Struthio camelus: one gene and its partner. The protein of the gene in region 2 purifies or fractionates together with the protein of the main gene of each other region. This does not show direct contact. Links are inferred from orthologs where the notes say so. Each region holds a gene or a part of one and is shown on either strand. Other genes may lie near its edges.

Region 1 (3,900 bases), about 62 Mb from region 2:
CCCTCCTTCTCCTCCAGTCTGTCCTTTCCCGGCTCTTAACGCACCGCGCAGAACTGGCCGCGCTGATGAGGTGTGCAGCGCAACGTCCGCTGCTACCCTCTAACGTAACTCCCGTGTGCTAACAAGCCAGAAACGTCAGTCATGCCTAGGAGCGGTATTTGCAAAGCACGTCTACAAGGGGCCAAACTAACGTGAGCGCTGCGATGCCATCCCGCTGACGGCGTCCGTGCTCTGCTATTAAACCAGCCCCTAAAACAGCGCTGCGGTGAGCGTTAGGCCAGAACTGTTTCATCAGAAGAGCCGTGTCCACGAGTTTGCTAGCGCCCACTTCAGTGGGTTGCGCTGAGGTAAGGCGTTATTACACAAGGAAATAATTTTACAAGCACTTAGGTGACTAAGGGCCACCCACTTTGAGAAAGGCCAGTTTTTGAAAATGGCGCACAGCTGCTGGAGCCAGGATGCAAGCGAAGCACTTTGCAAAGCAAAGATAATGTCTCTCTGTTTCTCCCTATTGTTTCCCCATTTTCTTTCCTTAGAAGCTATCGCACTATCGCATTTTCTGGAATGAATTCCAACGTTCTTTATTCTAACGTAAAGGAGTTAAAAAAAAAAACAACAACAAAAACCTCATCTGAATTGCTCCAAGTTTCGTTTGGCCCAACTCAGACCCAGAACCCGACCCCCTCTCTGCAGGGGAGCTCACTCAGCACGGTTTGTGATGGTGCAGCACAGAAAACCTCGGCAAAGCAAAACACAAACATCCACGTGAGGATAACTTAAACCCCATCCTTTTCTTTTGCAGCACAGCTCCACGAACGTAATTCCGCAGCTGCCCGGAACAAAGACGACGACAGGACTGACTCCAAAACGTTACTTTTCCCCGAAGCCCGTGTTAACTGTGGTACGATGCCGCACCACCCGCTCCGCACTGTTACACGCAGAAACCAGCCGCCCCCGCGTGCCGCCTACACAAAGGCGATGCTACACGCGCTGCCGCGTTTCACCTTTTCCCTTCACACACTGGAGCTCGCCACCGGAGCTGCTTTAATTTAAGCCTGCCCAGGGGGTCTCCCGGGGCCAGCACCCCAGCCGGCTGCGCCCCCCCCGGCCGCCCTCTCCCCAAACCGCCCTCTCCCCTGAGGCAGCGGCCGCCTGCCCGAGCCCGGGGTCGGGGCGAGGGGCGGCGCGGCGCGGCGAGGGGCGGCGCCTGGGCGCGCTCGGGGCCGCGCTGGGGGGAGGCGGCGGCGGCGGCGGCGGCGGCAGAGGGAGATCCGGGCCCGGCGGAAGGGGCGGGCGGACGCGGCCTGACTCTGCGGGACGCGCGATGCTGGTGAGTGCGGGGAGGCCGCGGCGTTGTGTCGCAGCCAGCCCGGCGGCGGTGGTGGTGGTGGGGCCCGGCCCGGCCCGGCCCGGCAGCTGCCAGGAGGGCCGCGGCCCAGGCCGAGGCGGCGGAGCGGAGCCCAGCACTGAGTCACGCCGCGGCGGGAGGCAGCGGGGCGAGGGGCGCCGGGCCCGGCCCGGCCTGCCCGCCCTCCTGCCCGCCCGCCTGCCTTTCTTCACCGCGCCAGGGAGGCGGCGGGCGCCGCCATGGCGGCCCTGGCGGCGCGGGCCCGGCGGCGGCGCGGAGGCCTCTAGCTACGCACTGGAAATACCTCGCCGCCCTCGGAGCCGGGAGCCCGCCTCGGCCCCTCGCTGCCCGGCTCCGGCCCTCTGCCGCCTCCTTGCCCTCGGCCCGGCTGCAGGGAGCTTCCCCCCATGTCCCCCCCCGCTGCCGGCCCAGCGTGTCCCCGCAGCCCCGGCGAGGCGCCGCTGCGGCCGGACAAACCCCCGCGTGTCCCTGGTGCCGCCGTGGCTCCTCGGCGCCGCGTCCCGCGCGTCCCCCCCCCGGCTGGGGTCGTGCTCCGGGCTTGCCCTGGTTGCCCCCTTGCTGTTGCCACCCCCCCCCCCCCAGTAGCCTTTTCTCTGTCGCCCCCGTCCAGGTGAGCGGTCCTGCAGGTTTTGGTCGTGGCTAACAGGCAGCTGGTCAGCCTCCCAGGAACTTGGTCCGGCACTGGAAGCTGGCTGCGTCTCTCCTGGCATCTCTTCCCATCCTTCTTGTTTCCCCTTCGAGTTGTGTTCTTTCATCATCGTTATTCCCTGATTACCTTTTCCCCCTTCCAGCTTTCTTCCTCCCCGGTAGCTGTTTCCTTCACCGCGATTCTTTGCCCTTCTGATCTTATTTTCCTGTTGTTAAATCCTTCCTCGTGATCTCACCTAATACCCTTTCCTTTTGACATGTTCCTTTTCTCCATCGACTCCCATGCTGTCTCCCCCCACTTTGTATTTAAATCCTCCAGCTGTGCTTTTGAGGAGAGGAGGAACTTCAGCCTAGATTGTATTTGTCAGCCAGTACTAGGAGAACACGAAACAAACATTTTTAAACCTGTTTTACCTTATTTTATTTGTTTCTTACTGATTTCCTCAGCAGTCTTTGCCCCAATACATGTGTTTGTGTATATTCACATTCTCTTCCCCCCTTTCTCCACCGACACACACACCCCCTAGTGTTAGTTTAGAAAAACAGCTCTCTTGGAAGACCTTTTGGTAGGACCTGGGGGAGTGGTCTGTGGGGGCAAGAAACTTCCAGCGGCTGTATAACTTAAATTAGTGCCAAGCATTGTTTCTTAATGCTGTATTGTGAATTGGTACTTCAGTTGAGGTACGGTATGTTTGGGATGGTTTCTCTTTGGGGAAGTCCTAAGAGGCCTCACTGGGCCTCCCTGCTACTCACTAGATGCATATTTTTTCCTCAGGAAATGATCACAGCGAACTGCTGCAGTGTTGAGTATTGGTGGCTGGGAGTCTGTGTTGCACTGGCACTTGTGTCTCTGCTAGTGACTCTACTGGAAAGTAGTCTTTTCTTTCTGCTTTGTGATTTCTTTTGTTTCTCAGTAGTAGGTTACCCAACTTCTTATTTTACATCTTTCTGAATTGCTTTAGTTCTTAACATTGGTTGCATTTTATAATCGCATCACCACGACGTATTTGAGGTCCCATTTAAACCTTGGACGTAGTTGTGCCATGGAGGTGTCAGGACTAGTTTCAAATTTTGGAAGTAATTTATACACCTAACTTAGAATCCAGAATGAGTATCTAACATTAACAGCTTATTCACAGTAGGATCTGTTTCTTCCTCATTGAGAAAGTAACTGGAAGACAGCTTAGAGTAACTGAATTAGACTTCTAGTCTGAATTACTCCCCTAGAGGAATCTTTTTCCATCGCCTATCAAGGGGTCGTATGGAGGAACAGTTTCTTGGTTTAGGCACCTAAATAAGACACATGTGCCAATACAATGTTGACAAAGCAGTTGTGCTGATTAAACTAAATGATTCTACTTCTACTTTTATCCTTTCTACACTGGTTTACACTTGCCTTATAGCTTGAGCCTGTTACTTAGTCTGTCAGCATGAGAAAATTGAATCACTAATTTATATCATTTAAATTTAAGCTCAAATGATTCATACCCTTATTTGGAAACTGATGTGAGGATGGCTTTTGTGATTTCAGCTTATTCTCATTATTAGCTTAAAGTCTTACATCCTAGCCATATTGTTATGGATATAACATTGGATCCTCGGAGAAAGTTGTTATATCAGATATTATATCAGATATTAAGAAAAGGTTTTTTTTTTTCTTTTTGTAATTTAGATGTCAAGATCTCTGAATACTGCTTTTCATCAGTTATGTTTCTCAGGTGGTGTCTCCTTTTACATAGTTGCACAAAACTAACTTCTCACTTCAGTGAGACCCAGCTTAATGATGAGTCACATCCTGGGTGTTAGCGGTGAGGTGAATTGAGTGTACCTGGAGTCTTCTCTTCTGGCATTGAAACTGTTTTTATGTATTTATTTTTCCCAGT
Region 2 (3,900 bases):
ATGTGGTAACGCAACGCAAGTATAACACTTCTTGGCTAAGTGAAAGGATTCCAGCTTGGTAACCCTGCAGACTGAAGCCTTTTGTGTGCTAAACAGCAGATACATCACACACCCCACCACACTTCCAACTATGCTCACATCTATTGTCTGCAGGAACTTGGTTTTTTAATTCTAAAATGCAGTATTGATAACACTAGAAATTAGACCACCAAAATTAAGAGTCAGACTGACAGAGGGATAGAAACAGCCCGTTAAGACTTTCCTGGAAGCCCTTCTGGCCCCCTCGCGCCAGATTGCCAAGCTTTTCTGCATAACATTAACTGTGAAGTGTTCCCCACCCCACTTTTTTTTTTTTTTTTTTAAGTGATGCTTTATCCTGATCTTGTGCCATCACAAATGAAGGTTTTAACACAACAAAGCGACAGGCCTTGTGATAAGACCTCAGGACTAAAATCACTGCAACTGTGCAATAGGATACTGTTGCCTTGAATCATATCGACACCTCCCAGATTGTTCCCTAGAAACCCCTGTATCAGGGCGCCATTGTCTTCCTTGGGGCTGTAACCTTCCTTCGCAGCCCTGCTCAGTTAACTACACTTTGAGGGGGGGGGGGCCAACTGTCCAACTCCAACAGTCTCCCCTTCTAAGTAGGTAGGTCTCCAGCTTTGACTTCCCAAGGTTCACTTTTCCCCGCGCACGTAACCATCGGCGCGATCTACGTCACTCTGCAGATGAAGGGGCGCGCGGCGTTCAGAGCCCGACTCACAGCACGCGTCCGAGGACCAGCCGCCCCGCGAGAAGGCGGAGAGGCTCCAGGCAGGCTGCCGTGCCGGCCCGCCGGGGCGCGTCACACGCGCCCCGGCTTTGTACGGGGCTGCAGGCGCAACCCCTTCAACACGGGGCACAGGCGCACGTCCCGCAGGGCCTTCCTCTGGTACGTTAGGGAAGGGAAAGGCTACACGAGCGCGGCTCGTACATCAAATAGGTCAATTCAGAAGACGTGCCAGCCTACAAACTCTAAGGATAAAACAGCGAGCGTGCAGGAGCGCGCTGCGAATTGTTTGCAGGAATTCCAGGAATCCGAAGGAGGGAAGGGCCACGAAGCGAGTGATTACAGAGAGGAGAATGCTATAAAAACAGGAGGTAAAGGACAAACACGAGGAGGGCTGTCAGGACCGGACAGTAGGCCAGGGCAAGACAGGAGCCCTGTAAGGGAAACTGCAGAGGTTGCTGTAGGAACAAGGAGAGACGTTAGAGCCTGGAAACAGCAGAACCGGACAGGGCACCGGGGCAGCGGGCGCTGGGAGGGGAGCGGAGCAGGGAGAGCAGGCCGGCAGAGCCGCGAGGCCTGCGGCCAGGCGGGGGGCGAGGGGCGGCCGCAGGGTCGCGGGAGGCAGGCAGCGGCGGGAGCGAGAGGAGAGCTGCCCGCCGGGAGGGAGAGGCAGGCGCTGCGGGGTGGGGGCAGAGGCGGCAGCCCGGGGCCGCGCAGGGCAGACGCACGGTGTGACCCCGGGCCGCCGGGAAGCACGTGGGCAGGGACGGGGCGCTGCCGCGGGCTGGGGCGGAAAGGGGGGACGCGGCGGGGGAGGAGAGCTGCGCGGCAGGAACCCCAGCGGGAAACGGGACAGGGAGGGAAGGGGGAAGAGGGGCCCTCGAGGCCTCCCACCGTTTGGGGGGGGGCGGGGAGGCAGAAAGGGGCCTTCGAGGCCTCCCTCCTTTTGGGGGGGGGGAGGCAGAAAGGGGCCCTCGAGGCCTCCCTCCGTTTGGGGGGGGGGAGGCAGAAAGGGGCCCTCGAGGCCTCCCTCCTTTTTTTGGGGGGGGGGGGGGAAGGCAGAAAGGGGCCCTCGAGGCCTCCCTCCTTTTGGGGGGGGGGAGGCAGAAAGGGGCCTTCGAGGCCTCCCTCCTTTTGGGGGGGGGGAGGCAGAAAGGGGCCCTCGAGGCCTCCCTCCGTTTGGGGGGGGGGAGGCAGAAAGGGGCCCTCGAGGCCTCCCTCCTTTTTTTGGGGGGGGGGGGAAGGCAGAAAGGGGCCCTCGAGGCCTCCCTCCTTTTGGGGGGGGGGAAGGCAGAAAGGGGCCCTCGAGGCCTCCCTCCTTTTGGGGGGGGGGAGGCAGAAAGGGGCCCTCGAGGCCTCCCTCCTTTTGGGGGGGGGGGAGGCAGAAAGGGGCCCTCGAGGCCTCCCTCCTTTTGGGGGGGGGGGAGGCAGAAAGGGGCCCTCGAGGCCTCCCTCCTTTTGGGGGGGGGAGGCAGAAAGGGGCCCTCGAGGCCTCCCTCCTTTTGGGGGGGGGGGAGGCAGAAAGGGGCCCTCGAGGCCTCCCTCCTTTTGGGGGGGGGGGGAGGCAGAAAGGGGCCCTCGAGGCCTCCCTCCTTTTGGGGGGGGGGAGGCAGAAAGGGGCCCTCGAGGCCTCCCTCCTTTTTTTGGGGGGGGGGGGGGAAGGCAGAAAGGGGCCTTCGAGGCCTCCCTCCTTTTGGGGGGGGGAGGCAGAAAGGGGCCCTCGAGGCCTCCCTCCTTTTGGGGGGGGGGAGGCAGAAAGGGGCCCTCGAGGCCTCCCTCCTTTTTGGGGGGGGAGGCAGAAAGGGGCCCTCGAGGCCTCCCTCCTTTTGGGGGGGGGGAGGCAGAAAGGGGCCCTCGAGGCCTCCCTCCTTTTGGGGGGGGGGGCGGTTGCGGCCGGACTGACCCGCGTCCCAGCTGCTCCATGGTGAGGCGGAGGTCGGAGACCGGCGAGAGCTCGGCGGGAAAGAGGGACTTGACGACGGCGGAGGCGGCGGGCGGCGCCGGGGAGAGCAGCAGGAGGCGGCGGCGGTGCGAGCCCCCCGGCGCACGGTGCATGGCGGCGAGCCGACTCCTTCCTCCTGTCAGCAACCTCCCCCCCCCGCCCCCCTAACAACCCGCGCCGCTTTGACCCCCGCCGCCACCCGTCGCCCGGCGCGCGCGCGCCGCCCGCCCGCTCCGCCCCCGCTCCGAAGCTGGCGCCAAACTCCCTCTCCGCCAATCAGAACCAGCGTCTCCTCAGGGCTTTGGTGGGTGGGTGGGGTTTTTTTTTTAGTTCTACCCCGCCCGCTCCTTCCTCCGACCAATCGAAACGCCGGGAATCGCCTTCCTTCCCCTCATGGGCTGCTTGACAGCGCTTGCGGCCAATAGGCTTTGCCAGAGAGGGCGGCCAATGGGGTGCCTCGAGGAATAGGTGGGGGGGGCTTGCTTTGTGGCCGGCGGAGAGGACTACATTTCCCAGCATGCAACGCCGAGGCGGGCAACGCGTGGAACGCGTTGCCCGCCTCGGCGTTGCATGCTGGGAAATGTAGTCCCCAGCCTCCCTGAGGCGCCTCCAGTCAAGCCGCCCTCATGGGGGCCTGTTACTCACACTACTCCCCTCACTCTTGTCGCAGCCCTAAAAAAGGCCGGGTGCCTTTTTTTTTTTCCCCCCGTTTTTTTTTTCCCGGCGACAAGGGTTGTTTTAAGGCCCGTAAACCTTCTCACCCCGTCCTGTTTGGGGTGAAACGCCCTCCCGCCACAGGGTGCAGCATCCCCCGGGGAAGCGACACCCGCCCGGTGCCTAAAAATATAAAGTCACGGCGTATAACCACGAGTGGGAAACGGCCATTCCAGGCTGGAAACTTCAAAGGTTTAAAACAAAGAAAGAAAACAAAAAACGAAAAGCGGCCGCACGGCCTTGAGGGACCAGAAGGCTGTGCTGCCATTCAGAGGGACCTGGACAGGTTGGAGAGTTGGGCGGAGGGGGACCTCATGAAGTTCAACCAAGGCAAGTGCAAGGTCCTGCACCTAGGCAGGAATAACCCCATGCACCAGGACAGGCTGGGGGTTGACCTGCTGGAAAGCAGCTCTGCAGAGAAGGACCTGGGAGTGCTGGTGGACAACAAGTTGACCCTGAGCCAGCAGTGTGC

The links.
Region 1: the proteins of CDC25A (region 2) and CUL1 purify together in Homo sapiens (affinity purification with western blotting; 6 studies listed by BioGRID, with this or other methods). This does not show direct contact. The link is inferred for Struthio camelus from reciprocal best matches to the Homo sapiens genes CDC25A and CUL1.

What each region holds. Positions count from the first base shown.
Region 1 is NC_090943.1:62,580,167-62,584,066, forward strand, and holds the start of CUL1 (cullin-1), read left to right. Parts: upstream 1-1,206; 5' UTR 1,207-1,330; intron 1,331-3,899; exon of another isoform or gene 3,900-3,900. UniProt on the Homo sapiens protein: Core component of multiple cullin-RING-based SCF (SKP1-CUL1-F-box protein) E3 ubiquitin-protein ligase complexes, which mediate the ubiquitination of proteins involved in cell cycle progression, signal transduction and transcription.
Region 2 is NC_090943.1:996,508-1,000,407, reverse strand, and holds the start of CDC25A (M-phase inducer phosphatase 1), read right to left. Parts: upstream 2,950-3,900; 5' UTR 2,828-2,949; coding exon 2,676-2,827; intron 1-2,675. UniProt on the Homo sapiens protein: Tyrosine protein phosphatase which functions as a dosage-dependent inducer of mitotic progression. Directly dephosphorylates CDK1 and stimulates its kinase activity. Also dephosphorylates CDK2 in complex with cyclin-E, in vitro.